Linked DNA regions of Bombyx mori. The protein of the gene in region 3 interacts with the protein of the main gene of each other region in a pairwise test. Links are inferred from orthologs where the notes say so. Each region holds a gene or a part of one and is shown on either strand. Other genes may lie near its edges.

Evidence for each region.
Region 1: the proteins of intersectin-1 (region 3) and ATP-dependent RNA helicase SUV3 homolog, mitochondrial interact in a two-hybrid assay, tested with the Caenorhabditis elegans proteins (2 studies listed by BioGRID). The link is inferred for Bombyx mori from reciprocal best matches to the Caenorhabditis elegans genes itsn-1 and C08F8.2.
Region 2: the proteins of intersectin-1 (region 3) and phosphatidylinositol-binding clathrin assembly protein LAP interact in a two-hybrid assay, tested with the Caenorhabditis elegans proteins (3 studies listed by BioGRID). The link is inferred for Bombyx mori from reciprocal best matches to the Caenorhabditis elegans genes itsn-1 and unc-11.

What each region holds. Positions count from the first base shown.
Region 1 is NC_085119.1:5,365,321-5,375,803, reverse strand, and holds the start of ATP-dependent RNA helicase SUV3 homolog, mitochondrial, read right to left. Parts: upstream 5,275-10,483; 5' UTR 5,127-5,274; coding exon 4,706-5,126; intron 1,289-4,705; coding exon 1,168-1,288; intron 325-1,167; coding exon 156-324; intron 1-155. UniProt on the Caenorhabditis elegans protein: ATPase and DNA/RNA helicase able to unwind DNA/DNA, DNA/RNA and RNA/RNA duplexes in the 5'-3' direction.
Region 2 is NC_085113.1:1,560,411-1,570,893, reverse strand, and holds the start of phosphatidylinositol-binding clathrin assembly protein LAP, read right to left. Parts: upstream 6,669-10,483; 5' UTR 6,495-6,668; coding exon 6,365-6,494; intron 5,886-6,364; exon of another isoform or gene 5,736-5,885; intron 1-5,735. Other genes in the region: uncharacterized protein LOC101743063, read left to right, coding at 8,381-8,602, 9,209-10,483.
Region 3 is NC_085117.1:614,628-625,010, forward strand, and holds part of intersectin-1, read right to left. Parts: intron 9,814-10,383; coding exon 9,702-9,813; intron 9,413-9,701; coding exon 9,335-9,412; intron 8,402-9,334; coding exon 8,203-8,401; intron 7,756-8,202; coding exon 7,675-7,755; intron 6,916-7,674; coding exon 6,733-6,915; intron 5,970-6,732; coding exon 5,865-5,969; intron 4,483-5,864; coding exon 4,420-4,482; intron 4,221-4,419; coding exon 4,046-4,220; intron 3,500-4,045; coding exon 3,334-3,499; intron 667-3,333; coding exon 503-666; intron 1-502.

The DNA.
Region 1 (10,483 bases), on a different chromosome or scaffold from region 3:
CGCTATCATGTCGAAACGAAAATGTATATGTACATACTATAAACCCACATTTTTAATATCTGATAGTCAAATATATAGTAGTAATACCTAATAGCTATCCCTAAATTACCTAGGTTTTAAAAGTATTCAATTTATGATATACATATTACACTTACACTTTTATTCGATTTATGATATATCTCAGTTGCTAGTAACTTTAAGGGACCACAGTACACACCAGATTTCGATTTTAAGAATCTCTCCATTGCATGATAAGTTTTTCCTGAATTTGTGGGACCTGCATGAAATATAATTTTGCGATCCATACTTCGAGCTTCAGGATACCTGGAATTTTATCTGAATTATTAGTGTTAGTTGAAATTAGCATTCATGCTCATCATAGTCTAGGAATAGCCCATTCAAAACAATGGAGTGGGGAAAATATAAAAAAACCTAAATATCCAAGGCACAAAAATTTAAGCAATTACAAACACTCTTCTAGGTCAGGTTCTGTGCAAAACTGATTATCCCACCAGTGCATTATTCCAGCTCTCTGACACCATATTCAACCAGATTACCAACGCTGTTTTACAATATGCCAGTAAAAGGTACAGTACACTGGGATAATACTTAATGAATGCTGCTGCCTATTCTCAGCTGAATCCCTTAGAACATTTATTATGAAAAAGAAAAGTGCTTTTTTAGATTAATGCTACACTATGTAATTCACTTTCTTTTTTTCCCTGCCTATGCTGATAGCCTTGAGAGGCTATTTCAGCTTCTCCTTGACATTTAGGTGAGCTCATGGGGCTGAAACCGGAGTGCTGCTAACACTGGCCCTTTTTCAAGGGCAGTGCTTCGCAGAATCTACCACTGGACCGCAAACGCGACCCACTGAGAAGATCCGGCGAGAAATTCAGTGGGCTGTGTCTATGGGTTAATCTACTCGTCAAGCCCTTCATTGCAAGTGTCAAGTTCCATGAAGACGGTGTCAGGTGCTTGCAGTACGTAAAACCATTAATGGATTGGGGAGATCCGTAATGACACATTTCTACTGATTTTGACAGTCAAATTATTATTCAGGTAATTCACTATTTAAGCTATTTACTTTAGTTAGAAATCTTTAACTTTTACATTTTAGGATTAGAGGGGGAAGGGTGAATTTTATTAGCACTAGAATATATTTACCAGTTTGCTGGTGTTCTCAAATCTGATATCTTTTTCAAGTCTTCCAAGCAGTCAAGGTGCGGAAATGCTCGTCTTGCATGCCTCAAGAAGTATGGAAACAAATCATCAACATGTCCTGCACCTAAAATGGATATTTAAAACATTTATTGCCCTTGTAGGTAGACAAGCATACCCACCTGATGGTGAATGGTTACCGCCGCCCATGGACTTCAGTAATGTCAACCAATGAGGTTGGTCCCTAGGCATGGTAGAACCAAAATAACCCATCAAGCAATTGGCAAATAGAAGGGCAACAATGAAATGAGAATGAACTGCTTTGATTCATTCACAGAGTAAGAGACTCATACTAATTGGACTAAATAAGCACATTTAGGATGTCATGCATAATCAAAGTAACAAAATGTGTAACAATAATGCTCAGAGACTGCAACCATATTTTGGTTTCCAGGAATCCATTCTTCATCCTTGCCAGTCCTCACTTATTAAAAACCGTTAATAGCACAAAAACATTACACTGTTTACAACTATTATGTTAATATTCTTCTATTCAGTTTTAAAAGTAATCTTTTTTTTTTTTTTATGATTGAAGGATTACTGGTGGCCCGGAGGCCTTTCCAGTTTCACCAGGACAGGTGGGCGAGCAAAGGCTCAGCCAGGAGGGGTGGGATTTGCTAACAGCTACCCGAGCGCCTCCGAAGGAGACCTAACAGCTCAAGAGCAGCTGCTTCGCGAATGAATCTACTACCGGATCGGAATCGCGACCCGCTGAGAAGATCCGGCGAGAAACTCAGCGAGCTTATTCATGGGTTAGGTTGCACGGCGAACTCTTTGTCGAGTTCGACGAGTACGGTTACCGAGGTCCCTAAGCCTGCTCCTAGAGCTGAAGGCGTCTAGTGCGAAGGTTATTGGATCTGATGGATCCGTAAGGACGTGTCTAGGGCGTCGACGGTGACTGGCTCCTGCATGATCAGGATTCGGGGAGTAGTCAGCGGCGGCTACGATAAGGCGATTATCATGACGCATAGCCTTATCGAAGTACCGTTCCGACGCTGACTTCATGTATTTCTGTATAGATTCGAGGCCCAGGTCGTCGTGTAGGTCAACGTTCCTCACGAACCACGGAGCTCCGACGGCTAACCTGCAAAAGCGGGATTGTAGAGATTGAAGGGTGTCTATGTGCGTGCGGGCCGCGTGAGCGAACACCACACTCGCGTAAGTCATGACGGGCCTTATGCAAGTTTTGTAAAGTGTCACCTTGTTCCGAAGGGACATTTTACTCCGCTTACAAATCATGGGGTAGAGTCTACCGAGAATAAACGCGGCACGGTCACGGACTGATTTTATATGCGGGCGGAATGTCATCGATGCATCCAGGGTAACGCCCAGGTACTTGACCTTCCTGGCCCAGGGTATGGATTGACTAAAGAGAGTAATCGGGGGTGTGAGATTCCTCCTCCTAATACGGGAGGAAATCCGTGTGGAGCTTCCCCTCTGAAAGAGCACCGCAGTACTTTTCGCTGGGTTGATGTCTATGCGCCATTTTCGGAACCACTGTCCTAGGGCTAGGGCTGCGCTCTGAAGCTTCTTCGCGATTAGGGACTTGTTTCTACTGGAATAGTAAACAGTCGTGTCGTCGGCGAATAAAGCTAAATGGGTCGGCGGCGACCGGGGAATATCGTTAACGAATAAGCTAAATAGGAGGGGTGAGAGGACAGAGCCTTGCGGGACTCCAGCTGTGAGAGGTCGTGGGGAGGAGCGGGTTCCCTCGACTCGATATCGAAAAGAGCGGTTCGACAAGAAGTCCCGTATGATGAGCACGAGACTATCCGGCACACCCATGTTGAATAGTTTGAAAATCAAACCGTTGTGCCAGATTTTGTCGAACGCTTTTGCGACGTCGAAGAAGAGAGCTCCCGTGTATAACGGTTTTGGTCGATTAAGCCCCACAAGAATGTGCTCCGTGAGGCGGTGCACCTGTTGAACGCATGAGTGATTTGTACGGAATCCGAATTGTTCATCGATGAGAATGCCCTTGGATGAGACGAAGTCTCTGAGGCGTTTGTAGAGCAGACGCTCATACAGTTTGCCTAGAGACATGAGGAGGCTAATCGGGCGGTAGCTCGTCGGATGATTTTTTGGTTTACCGGGTTTATGTATGCCGATAACGTCCGCTTCTTTCCACACCGCGGGAAAGATACAGTTCGCCATAGCGGCATTGAAAATAGATGCCAACATCACGATGAGTTGGACGGGTAGAAGTTTAATAACGCGGTTGGATATACCGTCGGAACCGGGAGCCTTGCGAGGACGTAGGTCTTCGATCAAGTCTTTAACTTCCATCGGGGTGACGGGTGGTAACACATCAGAGGGTGGCAAGGAGGCTCTGCGTTCTACCTCACTGTCTACTAATTCTACATGCACAGGGTCCACGGATTGAGTGCTGGGCGTGCACTGGGTTTGCAATGTATCGGCCAGCAGCTCTGCTTTTTCGTCATCATCGAACGCCGTGAGTCGGCCTGAGGGGCCTACGAGGGGGGGCATAGTTACTACCGTATCCGATTTGAGAGTACGAGCTAAGCGGTAGTAAGACCTTTGGGAGGGCGCGAGTCCTTCTAAGAAATCAGACCATCTGTCATCTCGGGCTTCGGCGATGCGAGACTTTACGTCGCGTTGTAGGGCACGCATTCGAATACGATTTTCCGCGGTAGGATACCTGTCGTAGGCGCGTATCGAGGCGTTCTTAGCTCTAAGGAGTTCCCTAATATCGTCGGACAATTTGAAGCGGTGAAGGAAGTCCTCCGCTACAACTTGTTTCGATGACCTATCTAATGTCGAGGTGATGTGTGACGTTAAGATGTCTATGGCTTCAGCGGTATCCTGGGGAGACGGGGTAGAGTCCGGGCTAAGCGGTAGCGATGGTGGATCAGATTCAGCCAGGCTGATGCCCAGCGTGTGCCAATCCACCACAGTCCTCGTGACGGGAACGGAATCGGGAGCGCGACCGAGCTTCATAACGACGGGACGGTGGTCTGAATCTAACTCTGAAACTACTTCGATCGAGTGTAAGCGCAGAGTTACGTTTTTTAATAACGCTATGTCGAGTATATCCGGGCGATGCGCGATATTTAGCGGGTAGTGAGTCGGGATTAGCGGAGCGACGATATCGAAGGCGAGATTATCGACTAACGCGTCAAGCCGCCTGCCATTCGGGGTTGTGGTGTGTGAGTTCCACCTAATGTGTTTACAATTTAGGTCGCCCGCCAGAATGACAGAGCTCCCCATGCCGAGCAGCGCCTCGATATCACTGCTTAGAACGATCTTATCCGGTGGAAGATAAACGGACGCGATAACGATCGGCGCGTGTCCCGTCAGTGAGATTCGGCACACTAAAAGTAATCTAAGTTAAGCATAGACATATTGAGATATTTTTTTACTGAGGTTTGCTATAGATATCTAGATTTATTTATTAAGCAGTATCTAATAGCAAAATAAAATCAACGAATGGGAGTTTACACTATATAAATTCAGTTAACCTTACCTTGAAGTATATCACTGATCGTAATATGTAAGTCTGGTGGTAAATCATGTTCTAAACAATGCCGTCTGAATGAAAGGAAAGCTTGATGTAACAATTGATCATCCAATCCATTTTCTGAAGCAAGCACTCTGATTTCAGGTTTTTGGTAAAATTTGTTAAGAATTTTTAACAAGTCTTGTTTTTTTAGACGTCCTGTAAATTCTTCACCAATGTTTATGTCATCGGAGTTTGGTTTCACTGGCACTGGCACAAATAAAGCAGAAGGATTCCGATCATGTTTTTTAGTTCTTACCAAAATATAACCTATACCGGCGGGTTTGAGTTTACGGGCGCACAAGATATTACATCTGAGATTTGATACATTAAGTTGTAATTTTTCTACATTATGAAGGGCTAATATTCTGGAAAACCCTTTATACATTTTGAAATAAATAAAAGTAAATTGACTAAGAATTTATGTCGTTTTTGTCACATTCCGATAGCCCAGTGCTGCCAAATTTCAGTCGTTTTTTTTTTAAGAGATTTTATGACCTGGTAACTAAGACCTTTAAGTCATGTCTTATTTTACTTTATATTCTTAATTTTATGAAAAATGATAATATGGAGTGAAATGAAATGAAGATGATTAATTTGAGACATTAATCAACTGGGATGAAATTTAATGAAATGAGATGATATGGGATGAAATATAATCGCAGTAAAATGGTGGTCATTTACTGAGATTTTTTCAGTGGACTTTTTGGAGGAACCCGAGAAGTTACGTCCAGCAGCTTTGTTTCATTTTCCCACATTTGTGCACTTTCACAGATATTAAACAGTTAATAAACCACCGTTATTACACATTTAAACCTGAAGAAACACGAAATAGACAAAATAAGACAAATCACACAACTTCACTCCTCGCGTTCCCGCCAAAAAGTCCCAATTTCAGTGGTTTTTTTTTTTTTTTTTTTTTAATTTTATGACCTGGTGACAGAGACCTTTAGGTCATATCTTATTTGGAAAATGTTCATTACTTTGGGGTCACTACACTTCACTTCACTAAATTTTGTCATTTAAATTGTTTGAATTGTCTTTTTTATGTAATTATAAATAGGTTTATAGGATGTTGGATCTTTTAGTAAAAAGTTAAGTGGCGGCGGGCGGGAGGAAGAGACACACTTAAATGCATTGGTATCACTAAGTTCACTAGCCAGCACAAGTCTTTGAATTAGGAAACTTTGGCAATCGAAAATAATGTGATGGATCGTCCCTTCTTCTGCTTGACAGTGTATACATTGGCTATTTGAAACAATGCCAAGTCTTGCTAGGTGTGACGGCGCAGTATTATGGCCAAATCTCAATCTGTTTATTGTTGTGATGAAAACTCGACTTTCACTAGTTTTCAATTTTTCATACCATGGTTTAACAGGCAGGTTATCTTGGATACTTCCATACCACTTTCCCTTGTTTTCCTGATCTTTCTTCCACAATTCCCTCCACAGAGTGTAAATGTTTTCTTTAATATTTAGAAAATAGTCAGTGAAAGGTACGAGTAATGAGTCTGTAACGTCAATACTGTTTATAGCCTCACGTGCAGCTTTGTCAGCTTTTTCGTTGCCCGTTATGCCTCTATGTGAAGGAACCCACATAAATGCTATATTTACATTCTTATGATGACATTTATACAAAAGCTCTTTTATAATATACAAGACGTAATTAGTTTTATAATTTACAGATATATTACTTAAACTCTCTAGCAGGCTTAAAGAATCAGTTATTATTAAAAAGTTTGTACAGCTATTAACCACAGTAATTCGCAGTAAGGCTTGATAAACAGCATAAGCCTCTGCAGTAAAAATGGAACAATATTCATTCAAAACAAAGCTTTGAGAAAACCTAGCCTTTGAATCATAAAATGCTGCATGCACATAGTTATTCCCTTTGCTGCCATCAGTATATATAGTGTAATATGTATAGTTTTGTGACAAGAACTGAATCATATCAGAATTGCTATTAATTGTACTTGAGATTATATTTACTGGATATGAAATGGAGTGATAACTATTAGAGTAACATGGCCAAAGGGACTGTTTACTGATCTTTTTATACTTATTATCTATTTCCAGATATATTATGGACAAAGGTGGTGTATATTTGTTAAGGGTTATTCCAGTTAATAATGAAGGAGGAGTGATGTCTAGGTATGGTGCAATTTTTTGAACTATTTGCATATTATTAGAAGATAGTAATTTGAGACAGTATCTGTGTGCAAGTAAGAGACGTCTCAAGATTAATGGCATAACTTTTGTCTCAACTTCCATGGCCCTTATGGGAGTTGAGCACATTGCACCAGATATTATTCTCAAAGCTCTGTTCTGTAATATATCAAGTTTACTTGCATGTGGACTATTCAAATAAGCAAGAGAGCTATAATCAAAATGGCTTCTGACAATCGATTTGTATATTAAAGACAGTATTTTGGGATCTGCACCCCATGATACTCCAGCAAGACATTTCATAACATTAAGACCTCTTAAAGCATTTTTGGAAATATGATTAATATGTGATTCAAAAGTTAATTTCTGATCTATTATTATTCCCAAAAATTTTTTGCTGGTAACCTTGTTTATAATTTCACCATTATAAATGACATTATAGATTGGTGTATCCTTGCTGAATATCATTACGTTGCTCTTGGATGGATTAATTTTTAAATGTAGAATGTCATTGTAATAATAGAACAGTTGGGATAAAGCTACATTAATACTGTCTATTGTTACTTGTAAATTATAGTCACTGCTATACAAAACGATGTCATCAGCAAATTGTAGAATATTTACATTATTATTTACATTATCTATAAAGTTGCAGATTTCACTTGTGTATATATTATACAATAACGGAGATAAAGTAGCACCTTGCATTGTGCCTTTCGAGGCAGATTTTGGACCATATAGGATATTATTGTATTTTACATACACTGTCCTTTCATTCAAGAAGTTATATATCCATTTGCAGAGTTGTCCGGGTATTCCTAGCCCTGACATAACTTTCACAAGTATACCAGGATCTATACTGTCAAAGGCACCTTGAACATCAAGGAATATACAAACAGTATGTAAATTTTTTTCCTTCCCATGTTTCAGATCAGATATTAAAGAGATAAAACTATCAGCACAGCTTCGCCCTCGCCTAAAGCCATATTGGACATCAGGAATGATATGATTAGCTTCCACATACCAGTCAAGACGGACTTTTAACATTGTTTCAAAAATTTTGCCAAGACATGAAGATAAAGAAATTGGTCTATATGAGCTAGCAAGTTCTGGTGCCTTGTCTGGTTTGAGTATCGGAATAACACACTGTGTTTTCCATGCCTGTGGAATATAGTTGTTAAGCCAAAGTAAATTGAGGATATCTAGAAATAATTTTTGAGCTGATTCATCCAGATTTTTAATCAATAGGTAAGGGTAGTCATCCATACCTGGTGTTGTATTGCGTCTAGATTGTAAACTTATTGTAAATTCTGACCATGTAAAGGGTTCAACCAAAAATTTTGAATTATGATTGTCATTGTTTAAATTAAAATAAATATTCAAGTTACTGGTCTGAATTAAATTACTATTGTCTGTTAAGTTATCCAAAAATGAGGGAATGAATTCATCTCTATATGACCTATTGCCAGTTTTAACACCTTTAAACATTTTAAGTAAATTCCAAATCTTACTAATGGGTGTTGTTCTACTGAAAGTATTAGTTAGATTATTCCAACCAATTTTTTTCTGCTCTGCTATTGTTCTTTTTTTCTGTGCATCCTTTCTTTTATAGTTAATATAATTCTCTATGGATGGCACATTTCTATATAATTTGAGAGCATTATAAGATGCAATGACACTTTGTTCACAAATATCATTCCACCAGGGTGTTGGCAAACGGCTTTTGAAACTATTTGATTTTGTAAGTTTAGGAATTGTCATAGTTTTTAATGTATCCAAACAAGAACAGAAAGCACTATAAGTTAATATAGGGTCATTTGAATTTAGGATAAAATTATTGAAAACTGTTCTGGAAAGAGTGTTGTATTTAGTCCAATCTGCCTTATTATATAAAAATCTGTCTACTGGCGAACCAATGTGATATTTATCAATAGTTAAGGAAATTTCTGTTATTGTAGGGTAATGATAACTTCCCATGGCATTGTGATGGACAGACCACTCACACATAGATGCAAGACTAGCACTGACGAAGCTAACATCAATAGCAGAAGGATTTCGTCTAGGATAGTTGACAGTTGTAAATCTACCATCATTCAAAATGCATAAATCTAAGTCGTCAATAATATTAAATAAGCTGTGACCTCGACTCTTACTAGATAAACAACCAAAAGCTATATGATGAGCATTAAAGTCACCACTTACAAATATTGGTTTTGGAAGATTATAAATTATACTCTGTAATCTATTTAGTCTGATATGACGACTAGTAGGTGGACAATAAACACAAAGAACAGTCAAACTACCACTTACTGTTGATAAAGACAGGGCAGCAGTTTGAATGTCCTCATAGAATGTAGTGTTAATAATATTGTATTTGAGGTATGGTTTAATTAATATTGCCACACCATTATGACTATTGTTTGAATTTCTGTTATAAATATTGTAACCTGGTATTTTAAATTTGTTATCTTTGAACCAGGTTTCATTAAGTAGACATATATCAATGTTTTGTTGTTTCAAGAATTGAATGAGCAAGGGTTTTTTACTATTGGCACTTTGAATATTATACTGAGCAATACGTATCTTAGACTGTGAAGGACCTAGATCCATTATTTTAGATTTTTAATTAAGATATCCTTAATTGTTTTCACTGTAGTAGGTGAATTATCACCCTTATTGCCTAGCTCCACCAATGTCTGTACAAGGGCCATAAGTACATCATTGTTGGAGACAATTTGATTTTTAATATTTTCTAAAGGCAATAAATCTTGTTGTTTATTTACATTATCTACATGTGTATTTACAGGCTTATTTACAGAATTATATAGAGGCTTATTTACAGAGTTATATACAGATTTATTTACAGTATTATATACAGGTGTTTTTGATGTTGGAAGTGGAGGAAAGTCATTGTTATTTACTTGCTTGGTTGAGGTAGCACTTGCATAAGTAATTTTGGATTTTTTTTCCATAATTTTCTTTATTTTAATTGGACATACTTTTGAAATGGCAAGATGAGGTCCGCTGCAATTTGTACAACAAATTTCAGTGGGCTTGTCACATTCCTTGTATAAGTGCTCACCTCCACAAATAGAACATTTTTGTTTACTGTTACATATTTTAGCTGAGTGGTTAAACTTGAAACATTTGAAACATTGTTGCAATGGTGGTATATATTCAAAAACTCTATAAGAGAATAAGTCGTATTGAACATTGTCTGGTAGAATATTAGATAAGAAAGTAATGCTTACAGTTTGTAAAGGAACATGCTCATGTCCTACTTTCTTTGTAAATCTTCTGATAGCAATAATTTCATATATTGACGATAGCCTACTGTACAACTCTTTATTAGAAATGTTAGCTGGAACGAATCTTATTATTCCAGTCTTTTCAATCTGCGCAGCAGGAATGAAAGCTCTCATGTCATATTTTTCTAAGAAAGACGAATTCTTAATAAAGTTATTTGCTGTGTTATATTGTTTAAAAATAACTGCTATTTTATTGGCATTCACTCTTTGAATTGCCGTCACACCTTTAATTTCCGTTGCAAAAACGTGGTTTAAGTAAATAGGGCTCTTGT
Region 2 (10,483 bases), on a different chromosome or scaffold from region 3:
GCACGACCCACTGAGAAGATCCGGCGAGAAACTCAGTGGGCTGTGTCTGTGGGCCATCTACCCGCCGAGCCCTTTGACGAGAACGTTAAAATCCTAATGTCTTATGCCAGGTGCAAAGGTATGTGCAGACCTGATGCCTTCTGTCTGCCTTTCCGCTTCTCAGGCTTCTTCTCAAAATCAAACCCTAATTCTCCATTAGAAGCCTGGTAGTCAACAGGACCTAGAACTTGATTACTCAAAGTTAACAGGGAGAGTATCATGTACTGGTGACGTATTGAATCAAATGGTTACATTATGAAATAATCATAGAACAACCTGACAATATGTATTTGCATATTATGACACATTAAAAAACCAGTTTCTTCCTTACTAAGAACTTATCATTATTACAGATTTCAAAAGCAAAAAGTTTTCTATATTTCTTAACATAATTTATTCATACTAAAAAGTCTGATTGAAATTTATTTCAGATCTGAAATGAATTACAAAGATTAAACATAGTAGAATGAAGTTCACTGTGGATAAACAGTTACTGTAGGTGGTAGGTGTCAACAATGCTCCAATGGTACTGCTAATGATATGTTAAAAAATGGACAAACCTAAAAGACTAAGACCAGAAAAAATATGTGCAATTAGAGTAGTTGACCAATCACTCATCAGTATCTCAAAAATAAATATCATTTTTAATTTAATCACACTGTTATTCCATAGATTTGTAATAATTTCATTGTCACCATTTGTTGTAACCAAACTTTCTTAAATCACTATCTTGATTACTAGTAGTAGAAGGCTTGTCAGTGTGAATAGAGCACTAAAATACAATTTCTGGCCCAATCATGCATTCCATATTGAAGTTAGAGTTGCCAGTTAAGTCAATGCAAACAAGATTTTCAATTTATCATTCACAATTGGGAATGGAAATAAAGTTTAGGTGTCCATAGTCTCTAGTGACTGCTCAATACTTGAAATCATTTGGGAAAACAGGCCTACTAATGCTACTAATGATTTAGAACACACAAAAAGTAGTGTGATTGTTTTAGAAAAAAAAATGCATTTAAATATATTTTTCTACCTTACACCTGCCATATCAAGAATCCCAATTGGACTTTTGAATACAAAACTATAAATTTCTAGTTATAACCAGCCAACTTTATGAAATAATAGTCATCTGTAGCTTAACAACTTATGTTCTAAGCAAGTTTTATTATTATATATGTTATGTTCCTTGCATAAATTAGGATTTCCTTTTTGAAGGTATTTTCTAAAAGTTGTTTATAATTACAATATTTTTATACATAATTAACAATAAACTCAAGCTCATAAATCATTGGATCTAAAAACTTACTAAGAGATAATTAATTTAATTCTATGATATTTTGATACCTAAATTAATTTGGGGGTTGGTGCTTCCCGCTTCCGTAGGTTTAACCCGCGATTCCCTACAAGTGACCCCTGGGTGGTGCTAAACGGGAGCCGAAAACATAACCGGTGGTAGGACTTAGTCCGACTGGCTGGCGACCACCCTCCAACTAGAATCCGCCGCCAAATAGCCTAGCTGTGTTCCGGCGTGTGGGTTGGAGAGCCAGTTCTATCCCTTCCCTTTCCCCTTCCTTGTTGGGGGTGAGTCTTGGTTACGCCTGGAACTTGCGGAGCAGACGTGCGTGCGAACTCGCGGGGCGTGATTGTTTGACGGGGGTATAGGGAGACCCAGTGAAACGGTATCCGCTGCCGCCCGCCGGTCAGTAGGGGACCTGAACCCGGGTGTCTCTACTAAACTCCGCCCCGGGAAGCTGTCCCGCCAACCGGTGTAAAATTCTGCCGTGCGGTCGTCGTGCCGGAGTCGGAGACCGGAGTGGATCCCGGCGATCGCACGCAGAGTGGACTGGGGGCCCTTCCATGCCCTGCGTCAGTCTCTCACGCAACCCGTGGTCGAGCACGTACTATGTTCCGCGCTTCATTCAGGTGTTGCCTCGATCTCACCTCTAACATCCTACCTCTCCTAATCCTACTCTCCCGAAATATAACAACTTAATGAAGTCGAAAAAAAAGAAAAGGGTTTTACAGGCGGCTCCCCATTCCACATTTAATGTGGATTTCAGCAATGTCAGGGGCCTACATAGCAACCTTGACGCCGTACACCACCACCTTGAGACGGCGCAGCCTGCCCTGCTTTTTTTAACGGAGACGCAGATATCTGCTCCGGATGATACCTCATACCTTGAATACCCCGGCTACGTATTGGAGCACAACTTCCTGCGTAAAGCCGGGGTGTGCGTATTCGTCCGGGCTGATGTCTGTTGTCGCCGTCTTCGGGGCCTCGAACAACGGGACCTGTCCCTCTTGTGGCTGCGCGTAGATCACGGGGGCCGTAGCCGAATCTACGCGTGCCTGTACAGGTCCCACAGCAGTGATGCAGGTTCAGCTCTGTTTGAGCATGTGCAAGAGGGGACTAACCGCGTGCTTGAGCAGTACCCATCTGCGGAGGTGGTGGTTCTTGGAGACTTTAACGCTCACCACCAAGAGTGGTTGGGGTCCAGAACCACTGACCTCCCGGGTCGGACTGCCTACGATTTCGCCTTGGCCTACGGCTTCTCCCAGCTGGTGACACAGCCCACCCGTGTCCCAGATATCGAGGGGCACGAGCCTTCTTTGTTGGACCTTCTGCTGACCACAGATCCGGCCGGATACAGTGTGGTGGTCGACGCTCCGCTTGGATCGTCTGATCACTGCCTTATTCGTGCTGCCGTTCCACTCTCTCGTCCTGATCGTCGAACGACGACCGGGTATCGAAGAGTTTGGCGGTATATGTCAGCAGATTGGGATGGATTGCGTGAATTTTACGCATCCTACCCATGGGGGCGGTTCTGCTTTTCCTCTGCTGATCCTGACGTCTGTGCGGACCGTCTTAAAGACGTGGTGCTCCAGGGGATGGAATTGTTTATTCCCTCCTCTGAAGTGCCCGTTGGGGGTCGCAGCAGACCCTGGTATAACAATGCCAGCAGGGATGCTGCACACCTCAAGCGGTCCGCATACGTGGCATGGGATAATGCCATGAGACGTCAGGACCCTAACATCTCAGAGGAAAGGCGGAAATATAACGCCGCTTCCAGGTCCTACAAGAAGGTTATTGCCAAGGCGAAGTCGGAGCACGTTGCTAGAATTGGCGAGCGACTGAAGAGCTATCCCTCTGGGAGCCGTGCTTTCTGGTCGCTCGCCAAAGCTGCAGAAGGAAACTTTTGCAGGTCTAGTCTCCCACCACTACGCAAGTCCGATGACAGTCTGGCCCATAGTGCGAAAGAGAAGGCTGACCTTCTGGTCAAACTCTTCGCCTCGAACTCGACTGTGGACGACGGGGGTGCCACACCACCGAACATCCTCCGGTGTGATAGTTCCCTGCCCGAGATCTGCTTTACACAGTGTGCAGTCAGGCGGGAACTCCGACTCCTGGACGTCCATAAGTCGAGCGGGCCAGACGGCATCCCTGCAGTGGTTCTGAAAACGTGCGCCCCTGAGCTGACGCCTGCGCTAACGCGTTTGTATCGCCTCTCTTATTGCACTAACAGGGTTCCGTCTTCATGGAAGACTGCCCACGTCCACCCTATCCCCAAGAAGGGTGACCGGTCGGACCCATCGAGCTATAGGCCTATCGCGATAACTTCCTTGCTTTCCAAGGTGATGGAGCGAATAATTAATATACAACTCCTGAAGTATCTGGAGGATCGCCAGCTGATCAGTGACCGACAGTACGGTTTCCGTCACGGTCGCTCAGCTGGCGATCTTCTTGTATACCTTACTCACAGGTGGGCTGAAGCCTTGGAAAGCAAGGGCGAGGCTCTTGCTGTGAGCCTTGATATCGCGAAGGCCTTCGACAGGGTCTGGCATAGGGCACTTCTATCGAAGTTACCATCTTACGGAATCCCCGAGGGTCTCTGCAAGTGGATCGCTAGCTTTTTGGATGGGCGGAGCATCACGGTCGTTGTAGACGGTGACTGTTCTGATACCATGACCATTAACGCTGGCGTTCCACAAGGTTCGGTGCTCTCCCCCACGCTTTTCATCCTGTATATCAATGACATGCTGTCTATTGATGGCATGCATTGCTATGCAGATGACAGCACGGGGGATGCGCGATATATCGGCCATCAGAGTCTCTCTCGGAGCGTGGTGCAAGAGAGACGATCAAAACTTGTGTCTGAAGTGGAGAACTCTCTGGGGCGAGTCTCCGAATGGGGTGAATTGAACTTGGTTCAATTCAACCCGATAAAGACACAAGTTTGCGCGTTCACTGCGAAGAAGGACCCCTTTGTCATGGCGCCGCAATTCCAAGGAGTATCCCTGCAACCTTCCGAGAGTATCGGGATACTTGGGGTCGACATTTCGAGCGATGTCCAGTTTCGGAGTCATTTGGAAGGCAAAGCCAAGTTGGCGTCCAAAATGCTGGGAGTCCTCAACAGAGCGAAGCGGTACTTCACGCCTGGACAAAGACTTTTGCTTTATAAAGCACAAGTCCGGCCTCGCATGGAGTACTGCTCCCATCTCTGGGCTGGGGCTCCCAAATACCAGCTTCTTCCATTTGACTCCATACAGAGGAGGGCCGTTCGGATTGTCGATAATCCCATTCTCTCGGATCGTTTGGAGCCTCTGGGTCTGCGGAGGGACTTCGGTTCCCTCTGTATTTTGTACCGTATGTTCCATGGGGAGTGCTCTGAGGAATTGTTCGAGATGATACCAGCATCTCGTTTTTACCATCGCACCGCCCGCCACCGGAGTAGAGTTCATCCATACTACCTGGAGCCACTGCGGTCATCCACAGTGCGTTTCCAGAGATCTTTTTTGCCACGTACCATCCGGCTATGGAATGAGCTCCCCTCCACGGTGTTTCCCGAGCGCTATGACATGTCCTTCTTCAAACGAGGCTTGTGGAGAGTATTAAGCGGTAGGCAGCGGCTTGGCTCTGCCCCTGGCATTGCTGAAGTCCATGGGCGACGGTAACCACTCACCATCAGGTGGGCCGTATGCCCGTCTGCCTACAAAGGCAATAAAAAAAAAAAAAAAAAAAAAAAATAATCAATTGATTAGTAGTAGAATAAGTAAGTACCATTTTGATTCCATTTATCTTGATTATCTTCATAAACTTCTATATTATGCTTTCACAATTTAGAATTGTATAGATTTGCTTATTATGAATATATTGTTTTTTTTTTATTGCTTAGTAGGGTGGACGAGCTCACAGCCCACCTGGTGTTAAGTGGTTACTGGAGCCAATGACATCTATAACGCAAATGCGCCACCCACCTTGAGATATAAGTTCTAAGGTCTCAAGTATAGTTACAACGGCTGCCCCACCCTTCAAACTGAAACACATTACTGCTTCACGGCAGAAATAGGCAGGGCAGTGGTACCTACCCGCGTGGACTCACAAGAGGTTCTACCACCAGTAAATAAAGTAATATTACTAATATATCAGATAAAAAAAATTTGAAAAAAAAATACATTCTAAAATTACTTACTAATGATCTGGTTAATTAACTCTCATAAGCAAATATCACCGCCCTGCCTATTTTTGACTCAAAGCATTTATGTGTTCCAGTTTGATAGGTAGAATTAGCAATGTAATTGAGATTTTAATCTCATATCTCAAGACGAATAACAGCTTTCACGTTGCTATGTCTATCATCTCTTATAATCATTTAGCACCAAATGTACCTAGACCTTGTTATTTTTTGTTTTGATTGATATGTTATATATATACACATATCAATCAATTCTCTCACTGGTTATGATTTTTTTATTATTATTGAATCAAACATAATCTGAAATCCTAGCAATCAGACTTAGCCAGTGTTAATAAATATAATCATTTAAAGAACTAAGATATTTTCCAAGTAAGTAGTTACTGCCAATTTTGTCATTTGTTATTTTGTATTGCATCTTCTGTTATTTTATTACATTAATTTTTATATTATAATTATGTGAGGAAAAAAATCGAATTCAACACATAGGTTTCCGATGCATTATTACATAAATCCAATAAGCAGGTAGTCTACAAACAAGTTTTATTTTCAATCAGTAACAACTCATCTTCCTACCGTGACATAATGTGTGTCAAGAGGCATTACTATGGGACTGGTTTGTGTTGAAAAATATTTCGACACGCAAATTAATGGTACGAAGAATGAGAAACACGTAATATGTTATAGTTTTTCAAGCGAGCAACTGAAATGTAAACTTGAATGCGCGTCACAGATCGCACATCTGTGCGAGGCTCCAGAGTTATCGAGTATCGACCGTCCGACCATTGTCACACGATTATGAACTAAAAAAATTATAACTGTTTTGTATCTTAGGAATTCTTAGTACTCACAATCTAAATGTTTCTTTTTCGGCGCTATCATTTCTTCTGTAGTCGCTTTGCAGACGGACTTTGCTAATCCCTGCCCGGCGATGCTGTGTCGGGCTGCTAACAGCCTATCGTTTATTGTCTGACCCGCCATTTTCACGTTATGTATTAAAAAAAATAATTTACACGTTTATACGGCACTATTTTCAGGTGTTTTTCGATTAAATTCACAAAATTATGACGATGACGGGTAAAATATGTCACCGCCCCCCCGACTGGCACAATACTAAATTCAAGATGGCGATTAGAACTGGACGAATGCTGTCACTGTTCACTAGATAATGATATTCCTAAATTGTCTATGAGTAATGTGAAAAACAAAAATGTTGATTTCTGGATTAATTTCTAATTTTTTTTATTGCAGTTGGCGAGAAGGACTTACCGCTCAACCAGGGCGGATGGATGAACTCAAGAGCGCAGTCGGGAGGTAACGATATGCTAACAACTTTTCGAGCGCTTCTAAAGGAGGCTTATCAATTTAAGGGCAGCTGTTTCGTGAATACATATGAGACCAGATCTAAATCTTGACCGTCCGAGAAAATTTTGGTGTGAAACTTAACGGATTAAATGATAATTAGTCGGACTCTTCGGCGAGTTCGACGGTTACGGCGAACTTTGTTAAAATTGCTGCTAGCGGGCATTTTAGTAGTGTCCAACACCACCAAGACTGAATCAGAACGATCCGTGAGGACATGATAAAGACGTCACTGGTAGCTGGCTGCTGAGTCAACTGGCGTGAAGGTGTAGCTAATGACATATACGATAAGTCGGTTATCGTGTCGTACTGCTGATGCGAAATAGCCCTTTTCTAAGTCCTTACATTTTTATAAAACACAAACGTTAGAAAATCCTCCACTAAGCGCCAACTCAAAAAATACCTTACGTATTGCTTTTGTTTCTCTATTATCTTTGATTAAAAAGATAGTTAACGCACACCAGTGTCGGTTCCTTCAGAAACCATTTACATCTTGTTTTACTCTGTGCTTTTAAAGGCTTTGTATGTATTGTAAAAGTCTACTTTACTTTGGGTTAACAAGTATTAGGTATGTACATACAACATTATTTTAACAAATTATGAACAAACCCAAACCATTTGTTCCAAACAATGTAATCTAGCTTTCTTAACTTAGCCATTGGAGTACCATAGCACGTGAGAAATGTCACGTTTAAGGAGTTCATGACTCCTTCAAGAAGTTTAGTTTTTGAACCCTTCCGCTAGTATACGAAGACAGCGTCGGAAAGCTCCTTCATCTCGGTAATTTGGCATGATAGCTCCCTTGACAACAACTCTGAACAGTCTTACGCAGCACCCTCCATCCTATCATACCCTACCATCATCACTCCAAGCAAGTCCTGACGGACCACCTGATTCTAGGTATAGTGGACGCTACTAGTCTAATGACTACTGTTATCACTAGTACAATAACAAAGCACTGCTCACCGTGTTGCCACGCTTGATATACATATATCATAGCACAAGTTTGGTGAGTTTCTGAATGGGTTGCGACTCCGATGTGATGTAAAAGCATTCGCGAAGCAACCCTCCTTCAGCTATTAGGCTTTCTTTGGGGCTTCTGGGGTCGTCCAAGACTTTGGGTTAGTAAACTTTCTCTTTTGACTTATCCCTCCTGTTCACCCATCTGTTCTTGCTGGGCGGCAAGATCTTTGTATCTACCAAGATAATTTCTTCATATAAAGGCTTTAGGTGATTGCCATAGTGAAAAAGGAGCTGTTATGTTGGCAGCACTTATTGTTTTAAAGTTGTAGCACCAATGTTATCGGCCATGTTGTCACTTGCTAAATGTGGATTATAAATATTTCCGACAAAAAGTCTTGAGACTGAGAGTTGTTTCTCTTGATTGAACACATAGCTTTATAGTTTAAAAGTGTTTTTATTCAGTACACCACTTATGGGATCGAATTTATTGCGTGGCATGCTATAATACAAGCAATAGTAATAAGTGTTGAAAAACTTTAATAATGGCTAAGAAAAAAGCGAAGTCAAAATCAAAGAAACAATTAAATTTTCAAAAGGGATCAACGAAAAACGTACCGAACGATCTATTGGTATCTGCTGTATCAGTCATGCCAGTCATGGCAAAAGTATGCAGGTTGTGCGAAACGAAAGATGGTCCCTTTTTAAATATTTTCGAATCTGATAAATCAACTGCTAAGAAGATAGATGAACTAATGCCTTTTGGGGTATGTTTGCAATCTGTATTCTGATAAAACTGAATTATCAACATAAATAAACAAACACTGCTCGAATTAAATATGAAGTCCCCACGAATTTACCTGTTAAATAGTTTAAATTTAAATGATATTCATTTATGGCATCTTTTTTTTTTACCTGATTTTAAGTACATAGTGGCTATGAGAGCCCATTGACAGCAAAAAATAATTCTGCGAATGATTTTAGATATATAATAAAAGTCTCAATCAGTACTCAGGCTGTCCAACTCATCAAAGGAAACATGATTGCTTTGCATTGGAAATGGGCAGGATGGTACTGCCCTTGTGTATGTTTACAATAAACAGTATGCTCAAGTACAATACCTCCTCTTTTGAAGGAAAAAGTAAATTTTTAGGCCCTTTTTAAATTTGTTTCATGTAATGAAGAAAAACTTAAGCTAGTGACTGAGTCATTGAAGAAAAGAGTTTTATAAACGACATAATATCCTTGCCTTTACTAAATTATGTAGATAACATAAAAATTAAGATTATAATTATTCAGTCTTGATTTTGATTGATCTTTTATTTGCTCACGTTTGAAAGTTAATAAATAATTTATATAATGAATATTTGCAGATTTCTGAAAATGATGAATTACCTCACAAAATATGTTTCCGGTGCTCAGCTAAAGTTGAAGAGCTTCATGAGTTTGTACAGAAATGTGTCAAGACACAAGAAAATCTCCTAGCTGCTACTGGTAAAAAAGATTTACTAAACACAAAAACAAAAACACGAGAACAGTGGGAAGAAAAGCTGAACAAAACTAACTTGTCGAATGATGACATCTGCGATGCTCTCATAAGAAAAGCTATGGAAGCTATAAAAGATATGCCATTAAACCAATCAGTTGTAGCAGAGGATAAGAATTCTCTACTTGGACGAAAGGTGCGAGCGGAACCCCAAACAAATAACATTTTAAAATTGCAGGCCAAAACAGAAGACAGTAATGCTGCTGTGAATCTCAAACCTGTAAAATTGACTATTGAAAAATGTGACCAAAGGGTTACTCGGTCGGGGTCAGATAAAATTGTCAATAAACAAAGTAAAAAACTTGACACTATAAATACAAATTCCATTAGCACACCAGAGGTACAAGATAGTCAAAAACCTGAAAATAGTGGAAAAAAAGATACAACAGCTGAAAATATTGCATCTGAGGAAACTACAAAAGAGGAAGTGCCATTTAACATAATGGATCATGTAAGCACAATCAAAGTAAATCAAGTAGGAGTACTCTTCCAATGTAAGTTATGTAACCGAAATTTCTTAAAAAAGGAAATAGTCGAAAGTCATTTTTGTGCCCGAAATGGTGCTCCCAAAACTGATATTACAAAACACTTACCCCCTCCTGAACCACCAAAAGCCACTAATACTGTGAAATATTTTAAAATGGACAGTGAAAAACGTATTATGTCAAATGGCAATGATAGTGTTACATCAAATAAAGAATGTAAAGAAGTGCCAGCTGAACGAGAACTTAATAAAGCTTTAGAAGAACCAGTCAAGCCTTTAGCTAAACCAAAACCCAAAATAGGCCCTGCAAGTAAAGTAAAAAAAAACCAAATGGAACCATCTCCTTGTGTAACTGAAACCCCTGAAGTAACTATTCTCACCCCTACCGCACCCCTTGGAAATTTTAAACTAATGCCTAATGTAAACTCAAGCTACAATTTAATGCCCAGTCCAAACTCAAGGTACAAGATAATGCCTGGTCCAAACAATTCTTTTGTATTAGTGGAAGAAGGTTCAACTTCCAAAGCTGCAAGTGAGGAGACTAATACTGCACAAAAGGTACCTAAAAAAAGAAAAAATGAAGGTAAAATTCATGCTGATATGAATGAATGTTCTTCA
Region 3 (10,383 bases):
GGACATCGAGTACACAGACGAGCAGGATTGCTGCCGTCAATGGACAACACTCATATCCCGAGAATGGAACATTGGATATTTTTATTTATTGCTTAGGTAGGTAGTCGAGCTGATGGTCTTTTTATTTATTTATTTTTATTGCCCTTGTAGGCTGACGAGCATAGGGCCCACTTAATGGTGAGTGGTTACCGTCGCCCATGGACTTCAGCAATACCAGGGGCATAGCCAAGCCTACCGTTAAGTACTCCCAATAAGCCTTGTTTGAAGAAGGACATGTCATAGCGCTCGGGAAACACCGTGGAGAGGAGCTCATTCCATAGCCGGATGGTACGTGGCAGAAAAGACAGCTGGAAACGCACTGTCTACCTGATGTTCACTTATCATCGGAGTCCGTAGACATTCACCATGTCAAAGTCGACTTCCACCCTGAGTTTTAAGTCTTAGTTTAAACAGTACAACGGCTGCAGCAGTAATGGTGAGGGTCCCCTGGCGGGTGCGGTACCTGGTGGCGGTGTAGCTGGCGAGCGCCTGCACTATCTCGTGCTTGCGGCGGCCGGTGACGGAGTCGCGCCCGGAGTCGCGGCGCGCCCCCGCGGCGGAGGGGGGCCGCGCGGGGTCCGTGATCATGGCCACCTCTGACGATATCGGCGTCGAGGACTTCTGGTCCTGCGCCAACAGAAACGTCACAGATGTATATGCGAGTTCGTTAGAGGTCCATATCAGCTAGGTCAGAGATCGGGGAACCGTGGTAATTTATTTATTTTTTTATTTAATATATTTTGTACACACAGCTATTAGAAAAGACACGTCAATAAGGATACAGAGTACAAGGGCACTACTTATTTCATGCTGAAATCTCTTCCAGTAGGCCCGCAAAAGGAAAAAAGAATTAGGAACACAAACCTAGTGCATTTTATTTTTTTAATTGCTTAGATGGGTGGACGAGCTCACAGCCCACCTGGTGTTAAGTGGTTACTGGAGCACATAGACATCTACAACGTAAATGCAACACCCAGCTTGAAATATAAGTTCTAAGGTATGGTTACAAAGGCTGCCCACCCTTCAAACGGAAAGGCATTACTGCTTCACGGCAGAAATAGGCAGGGCGGCGGTACCTACCCGCGCGGACTCACAAGAGGTCCTACCACCCCAAATGGGGTAAAATGAAATTTTAGGGAGGAAAAATGAAATTTTTGTGAGTAAAAAGTATACATCAAAGTGAAACTTCTTTAGAATCGTTGTGATTTCAATCTCAAAACAAGAAATTATCATTTACTTATATTTTCTGTGGGGGCGATTTTTGTTCCTCAACTGTATATTACATATATTATTATTATTACCGTTATGTATTACTAGGTATTGCATTGATAAATAATGATGTTTAATGTGATGTTAATAAATGATGTTTAAATTATATTTTTAGTTATTGTTTTCTTTTCAAAACTATCATGGGGGCTATAGTATGAAAGATGCTATTATAAAAAGAAGCGATTTCGTTTTTATTTTTGCTCTTCGCCAGAGGGTAATATCAACTTACACAAAAATATTTTGGGGTAATAATTAAAAAAGTTCCTCGACCGCCGAGCTCGGTGGAAGATCTCGTTCCCTCTCTAAATAAGACTGCACAAAGGACAATGCCCATTTTCTATGGGCGTATGGGCCCCTAAAAAAAGTTGTCGCGTCATGATGGTTTTAACTTATTTTGATAGACAAAGAAATATCGTTTCATATTCAGAAAACTATTTTTATATTCTCACCCAGATTTAAGAGAAATCTGTTTTTTTCTGCAGCTAAAATTAAGTTGTTAATTGTTTTTTTCGAAATCAATAATCGCTCTCATAATTATTTACAGTATTAAATAAGTTAATTGTGGTTAATGTTGCTAGAAATAAGCCCTTACGTACATTTTATTATTATTATATCCTCATAATAATATTAAAATGAAATAAAAATCCGGAAGCCGACAACGATATTGTTGTTGTTGTTTTTAAATTCGCCAATAAGCAGGCAAAGCGCGTAGCCTATACAGCCTAGTCTGTCGTAGTTATATTTTGTATCTCTTTTTATTGCTTTTTGGGAGTTTTGACGTCAACTCGATGAATAGCTCATTGAGTGAGCGTGAATTTCCGCAGACCTTTTATCTTGAAAAAAAGAACAGTCACTACTATGTTAGCCACAGTTTTATTCCAATGCCTCAATAATCGTGAACAACGATTATTGACGTTTAATACACAAAACAACGCTCAATTTATATATTATACATCACAATAAACTATTAAAAAAACATAAAATAAAACTTCAAGTGACGCTTCACTCGGGTTGCTGCCAAAACTCTCTGATCATATTATTATATAAGAATAGAGTAATGGTAGGCCATTGAGATTTTCACTAATGGAATCATTAATATCTAAAAATATTAAATAATTCATGGTGTTAAGTAATAATTATTATTACAATATATAAATATTGAATTGAACAAAAATAAACTAAAAAGTCTGAATTATAACCATTACTTATTTTTTTTTAATTTGTTGTTCAAGTCACAGACAACTCTTTCGTTTGGCAGCTTATAGGTTTACTGTAAGGCTGTATGGGCTAAGCCCTTTGCCTATTGGCGAATTTAAAAACTATGCCACTAAGTTTTGGGATGTTAGTTATCAAATAAGTAATTTATTTTTTTGTAAAACAATGCCAGGTTTAAAGAAATGTTGATACATAAACTAAACAACGTAAAAAAATAAGGCATAGTTTTTCAAGTACAAATAGTTTTGACATAAAGTTGGCCCACTTTTGGGCATTGTCCTTTACTAGACTGCGGTCTGAATCTGTAGTTGCAGTAGAACTTTTTTTTAAGGGATTTTATGACCTGGTAACTAAGACCATGTCTTATTTTAACTTATATTCATATTTTTATGAAAAATGTTATTATGGAGTGAAATGAAATGAAGACGATTAGTTTGAGACATTAATCAACTTGGATGAAATTAAATGAAATGAGATGAGATGAAATGGGATGAAATATAATCTCAGTAAAATGGTGGTCATTTATTAAGATTTTTTCAGTGGACTTTTTGGAGGATCCCGAGAAGTATGTCCAACGGCTTTGTTTCATTTTCCCACACTTGTGCACAGATATTAAACAGTTAATAAACCACCATTATTACACATTTAAACCCGAAGAAACACTAAATAGACAAAATAAAGCAAATCACACAACTTCACTCCTCTTCTCGCGTTTCCGCCAAAAAGTCCCTAGCAGTAAAACTACTAGCCATTGGCTATCTACCTTCCAGAGTTCAAAAAGGGGGGGTAGTTTGATATTTTGGGGCTGACCTGAGAGGCAGGTATCGGCGGAGTTGTGTTGGGGGGCGACGTGTCCTCCTGCTCGGGCGCGGCGGGGGGTGCGGGGGACGCCTCGGCCGGGGCGGAGTCCTGGGGCTCCGAGGTGGCCGCGGGCGCTGCCTCCCGGGACACGTAGTTCGAGGGGAATATGCCGGTCCTGTGTGAGGAAATTGAATTTTTTTTTTATATAAATCTAAATTTCGTACGTCGTAAAGGAAACTGTGGTTTATCTCGGATATCGAACGACGCTAAAACGATTCCGAAAATCGTTACCGATATTTATAAAGTCGTTACGATTTTATTTTATTTTTTTATTATTTATGCCCGAAGTATTAACAAACCCTTCTTTTTTTTTTTTTTTTTTCCTACCTAAGCTGATAGCCCTAGCAGCTATGTCAGCGTAACCCTAACTTTAGTAGGTGAGCTCACGGGGCTCAAACCTGACGATGTTGCTAACACGAACCCTAGCAAGAGCCGTGCTTCGCAGAATCTACCACCGGATCGGAAACGCGACCCACTGAGAAGATCCGGCGAGAAACTCAGTGGGCTACAAACCCTACTTACTTAAACAAAACAAATAAGAGCCATTAGGTTGGATGTCGGCATCTTCCAATTTATAAAGTCCGACATTTAGATTCGTTTCGTTCTTAGTTTGCTAGAAGCACACACAGCACGGTGCCGCCCCCCCGTCCCCTCCACTGACCTGGCCCCGATCCTGCCGGTCCACCAGTCGCCGTCGCGCCGCACCACCTCGATCCTCTCGCCGGCCTCGAACACCAGGTCGCCGGGCTCCGAGGAGCTGTACGGGTACGACGCTATGTAGAACTCGCCGTCGTCTTCAACAGAAACGGGCTCGCTTACCGTCCGGCCGGGATCTACTGCGATCATTTATAAGTAAAATACGATCAAAAAAGAAAACGTTCCTATATGTTGGCACTGCAGAGCTGGTCTGCGGACCCTCGACCGCAGCAGAACTCCTGAACGGCCACTGGTAAGCCCATCGAGTTTGGGCTCGTTAGATTTGTCTCTACTAGCCCTATACACAGGGTGTGCGTTTTTTAGTGTGTGTTCACTGACCTACTGCCGGCAGCGCGCCCCCGAGGTCGCTGGTGGCCTCCTGTTCGGGTACCTCCGCTATCCCTGTGGAATGTTCGAGTAAGGTTTATTCGAGTACACTTTATCAGCGGTCACGGCTGGAGAAGTCCTCGAGAAACACAAACTCTTCTCCAAAAGTGACATACAAACTTTACAACACTTTTATATGAATGTGTATTTATTAAGATCTAGGGTCACGCATATTATATACTGTTACGCCGGTAAGAGTGACGCTATCTGTCGTCGAATACAAGAAGCGAATATTAAAAGCTCTAGTAATATCGAGAACGCTCGAAGAGTGTAACGCCATCTATTATCAAACAGCGAAAACACATATCGACACGACTAGACCTATCGGGAATGTTCTTGATAATCGTAGAGTTGTCGTATCGACTATAAAAGCGTTGCAGTGATGACGCGAAGTAATCGGATCACCTGAAGCGAAACGGAAGAAGCGAATTGCGATTTGTAAAGTGCTCTGAGTGTTAAATAGTTTTAATTTGTACTTCGGTGGCCATTTTATTTATCCCGAACCTCAGCGCGTAAAGGTACTGAGTATGTTTGTTTAGACAGCACTTCCTTGGGGGATTCAAACGCTCGGGTCGCGTGCACCGGGCGTCGCACACATCAGGCCGCGGACGCCTTTATAATAATGTTACCCCGGTAAGAGTAACGCCATGTATCACCAAATAGTCGAACGAATATCGAAGAATCTAGTAGCACCTAGAACGCTTGAGAAGTACAACGCCATCTATTGTCAGATAGCAGAGACACAATACTCGAAATGTGTGGAATATTCTCGATAATTCTAGGGATCACCTGAAGCGTAGTAGCGAATTAAGAATTTTAAGGTGTTTGTTAAATGTTTTAAGTGTTGAATACAATTTTATTCTGTACTTCGGTATAATTTTTTTATTTATCCCGAACCCCAGCGCATAACAATAATAACCGGGTACAAGTCATACCGGGACATCTGGCTCCTGGATCCCCCTATGGGAACTGGAGCCTGATATACATACTTATATACCAGGCCTGGGCAAATGGCGGCCCGCGGTAGAATTTCGTCTGGCCCGTGAAGCATTGTATATATCATTATTATTAAAAACATAAATATTAGTTTTTGTCTAACATAAATTGGTGCATAAATTTTTTTAGATAAAATATTAGGCACTACTGATACACATTATCAGGGCCGGTGGGAGCCAAAATTTTCTCCCGGACAACCGCTCTTTTCAGCGCCTCCTATTCGAAAATATAATTATGATAATTGAAATCACACTATGTATAATAGTCGCACAATATAAAATTAGAAAAAAAAAACAGTTTGGCCCGTAGGCAAATTTTCATCTGCAATGTGGCCCGACTATCAAAATATTTGCCCACCCCTGGTCTAGAAGGACCCCCGACCCTAGGTTCAGTCTCTTTACCTTCAAGCTGCGTCTTTGGCTCGAGGGTCTCGATGACCTCGGTGACGAACGCGGTGGGAGCGTTGAGGTCCTCCACGTACGATTCCGGGAACCAGCCGCTCTGACCTGGGACCGAGTTCAACCTTCATTTTGACATCTTGTGCGTACAACCTGTCCCTCCCGGATTTTGTCTCGAGGGGGGACCGGACTCTTGGGCGAGAGTGGAGGGGAGTCGTTTATAGGTGACCGTGACTACCTTAGTGGTTGCATATACAATGCCCCCCACTCCCCACCTGCAGTCCCCGTGGGGGTATCGACCACGCCCAAAAAAAGGTTATAGTACCATCAAGCTCATTACTGCCGTGAAGCTGTAACGCTTTAAAGAGTGCTGTGAAACTGATATTTTGACCTCATATTCATTGACCTCAAAGCTGATAGCGGAGTGTTGTAGCGGCGATGTCTCCAGATTCCGGTAAACACTTAACATCAGGTAGTGACATTCTGGTGGTAGGACCTCTTGAGAGTCCGCGCGGGTAGGCACCACCGCCCTGCCTATTTCTGCCGTGAAGCAGTAATGCGTTTCGGTTTGAAGGGGCAGCCGTTGTAACTATACTGAGACCTTAGAACTCATATCTCAAGATGAGTGGCGCATTTACGTTGTAGATGTAACCACTTAACACCAGGTGGGCTGTGAGCTCATCCACCCATCTAAGCAATAAAAAAAAAAGTGAGACCGTGTGGAGCGCTTCGTGATTTGTCGGCGCCGCTCGGAGCCGCTTCGGCAAGCCAATCGCGGCACACTTATTTTTTCGTTTCGTTTCATTTCGTTTCATCAAGTTTGAAATCACAACGATTCTAAAGAAGTTTATTATTGATGCGGTCCCCGTACCCCTGGCGCTGCCCCAGGCCCAGCCGGGCTCTGGCGCGGCGGGGGGCGCGCGCGGCACGATGAGGTCCCCGGGCTGCACGCTCAGCTCGTCGGCGCTGCGCCCCACGAACGGGTACACGCAGCGCCACCGCGGCGGCTGCGGGCCCTCGCCCCCGGGGGCTGCGGTCTGCACCGTCTCCGTGGCTGGAACGACGAAACTATTCGTTACAAAAAAATAGTGAAAACCTGTAGTTAGGATAGGTACCATCATCCTGCTTGCTTTCGACGCCAAATTACGTCAGCTTTTAAAATACAATCGAGATATCATATGTGATGTCCGTGGGTCTCATAAACCTCTCAGCGTCGAGCCGCGAGTCCGTCCATCGATTTAAAATTTTAAAATAGATTTATCAGCAGACCAGATATATATATATATATGAACATAAACAGCATCTGTAGTTACGCTAGGTCGAGCGCAGACGCTCATTCAGCGGGCCCGCAATGTACGACGTATGATTGGAAGTCGTTGACCTCGCGAGAATTTTTATTACATTACTCGCTCTAAAAAAATTAAAAAAATTGTGCGCGTGCAGCTTTGTGCACGCGAAAGAAGTGAAACCTCTTTTGCGGTCTATAGTATTATGATTTTTTTTTTAGAACCTAATCTAACACACCGTTGTCAATATAGCGGTTTATATGAAATCCGATAGATGTCGCTAAAATAATGTTACTGTCATCTATAGGAGGAATGAGAAACTAATAACACGCCAGTCGCCATCTAGTGGCCGACGCCCGTAAACAAAATGTGTGTAAGAGGAACGACCTAGCTCGCTTTCTCCCTCTCTGCGCGGTCGAGTGGTTCGCGAGACGCTCTGCCTACTCTCTCACTCCGTCTAAAGAAGTTTCACTTCATTAAGGTTAATAGCGGCTTCTGCACGTGGTCCGTGCGCCCGTGGACCGTACCGGTGGTGGTGGGCGCGTCGCCCCACGCGTCCTCGGCCGGGGGGGAGCTCCACGCGGCGTCCGCGGCGCCCCAGTCCGCGTCTGCACATTCATATAAATTAATAACAAACTACCCTCCAATTGAATTCTATTTTACTGCAATAATTCGACAGGTGAAAGGGTATTTGGGTTAAGCGAAATTTTTGGAACAACACAGGACTATTTAAAGTTTAAGCATTTGGTAAAAATATCATAATCATCAATCATTTACTGGTGGTAGGACCTCTTGTGAGTCCGCACGGGTAGGTACCACCACCCTGCCTATTTCTACCGTGAAGCAGTAATGCGTTTCGGTTGAAGGGTGGGGCAGCCGTTGTAACTATACTGAGACCTTAGAACTCATATCTCAAGGCGGGTGGCGCATGTACGTTGTGGATGTCTATGGGCTCCAGTAACCACTTAACACCAGGTGGGCTATGAGCTCGTCCACCCATCTAAGCAATAAAAATAAAATAAAAAAATGTGGTAGTAAGTGACGGAGTCCCTCACCGCTGCTGCCCCAGGTCCCCTCCGCGGGCGCCGTGTTCCTCCTCTCGATGTACTCGTTCCGTTTCTCCTCGTACAGCTTCCACACCTTCTCGCACTTGTCGCTGAGCGTCGCTACCGTCGCGTTCAGCTCCGCCAGCTGGGCCTCGTTGTGCTGCAGGTCCGCGGTCTTCGATTCAACGATAGCTTTGGCGGCCTCCACCTGCGTGGCGGGTACAGCGATGAAGCGAGCGCGCAATGTAAGCGAACATCGCGCGAGGTCGTCGACCTCGACTACGGAATGAACTTCGTCGTACATTACCGGGCGCTGCGATATTTGTTTTAGTGTGAACCACAAAAAAAAAATTGTGTGAACCAGTGGTTCCTTTTTTTCCCTACCTATGTTGATAGCCTTGAGAGGCTATTTCTGCTTCTCCTTGACGTGTAGGTGAGCTCACGGGGTTCAAACCGGGAGTGTTGCTAACACTGGCCCTAGTAAGAGCAGTGCTTCGCAGAATCTACCACCGGATCGGAAACGCGACCCACTGAGAAGACCCGGCAAGAAACTCAGTGGGCTGTGTCTGTGAGTTAGTTCGCTCGTCGAACTCTTCGTCGCAAGCGGTTCGACGAGGACGGTGACCGGTGTGGTCTCTAAGTAGTCGTAATGAAGTGATGAAGGATCTTGTAAATTTTTTAGAAACCAAAAATTTATAAAATTTAATCAATTTTGTCTATAAAACACCTAGTGAAAGTCATAATTTTGTATTGTTATTATTTTAATTGCTGACAAATAATTACTCGTGTTATTTTCATGACGATTTATATGTTTTGTATTTTTTACTAAATGGTAAATTTAATCGAGAGTGGGTAACACCGAACATGATTCCATTCATCATGGCGGACGAACATCAAAATCGATTCTCTCTTTAAATCTAAATCACTAATTATTATTGCAATCCGTGATTGTTTAAGCGAATTAACCGTCTGTATAACCACAGTGGTCCATGGTCAACACTGCGGTCTATATATTTCAACTTTTCTTGGAGTTCAACGCCCGCAATGAACTCCTGTGCTGACGAGTCCACGGGTCAACAGCCAAGTGGGACAATAACTGTCCCCCCCCCATAGATACCAGTTAGAATGTCACACAGCTCACCTTCTCCCGGAGTTGCTTGAGCGTGACCTCCATCATGCTGAGTTTCCCATCCTCACCAGCGCCCTCTGCGGCTTTAGCCTGAACCAAATAAAGAACATTAAACACCCTCGCTCCGTGAAAGATGATAATGATGATAATAATTTATCCCTAATGGGAAAGGCAAAGGACTTAAGTCCATACAGCCAGGTCTTGTTCTTGTCTTGGTAATAATTGGAGAATATTGGTAGTTTTAAAGGCCGAAGCCACGTCTTCATTGTTCTTGATCGTAAGGCCGAAGCCATGTCTTGTCTTATCGCTCAGTGAAAGATAGGTGGACAGTTTTGACAGCTGTCAGTTCTGACACCTGTCAGGAGCGCAACACACGCACCTTGGCGTCCAACTCCGCCTTCTCTTTGTTCAAAGCGATCTGCTTCGCGTTGAGCTCCTTGACTCGCGCCTTCAGCTGCTGCATCTCCGCCATGCTGGAGTCCCGGTCGGACCTGGACCAATTAACGAGGTTCAGTTACTTTCACATTGACTTGAATACTTACTTGTGGTCCCCGCAGTAGTCGAAATTCGACTATAATTATTTTTATTTTTATTTTTTTTATTGCCCTTGTAGGCAGACGAGCATACGGCCCACCTGATGGTCAGTGGTTACCGTTGCCCATGGACTTCAGCAATGCCAGGGGCAGAACCAAGCCGCTGCCTACCGCTAATAATTGAAATTATAAGTTTGAACATTCTTATTGGTTCTATTATCAAAGACTATTTATACTTCTTTAATCACAGATTTCGCCAAGACTACACTATAGACAAATAATGTTAAGGACAAAAAATATTAATCTATTCTCAATTACCACAGGCTTTAAAGAATAACATAATATTCACAATTGACAATTTACAAAGAGTATATTTATAAGTATGTGTTGTGACAAATACATGGTAGTGTGTGTAATGTTTTCTTTATCGATTTAATGTATCTTTTATGCATTGTTTTTAAAAAAATATTAGCATTGTGCACTTCTTCTCTATATTCTCTATAAGTGTGAAAAATTTCATACTCCTCC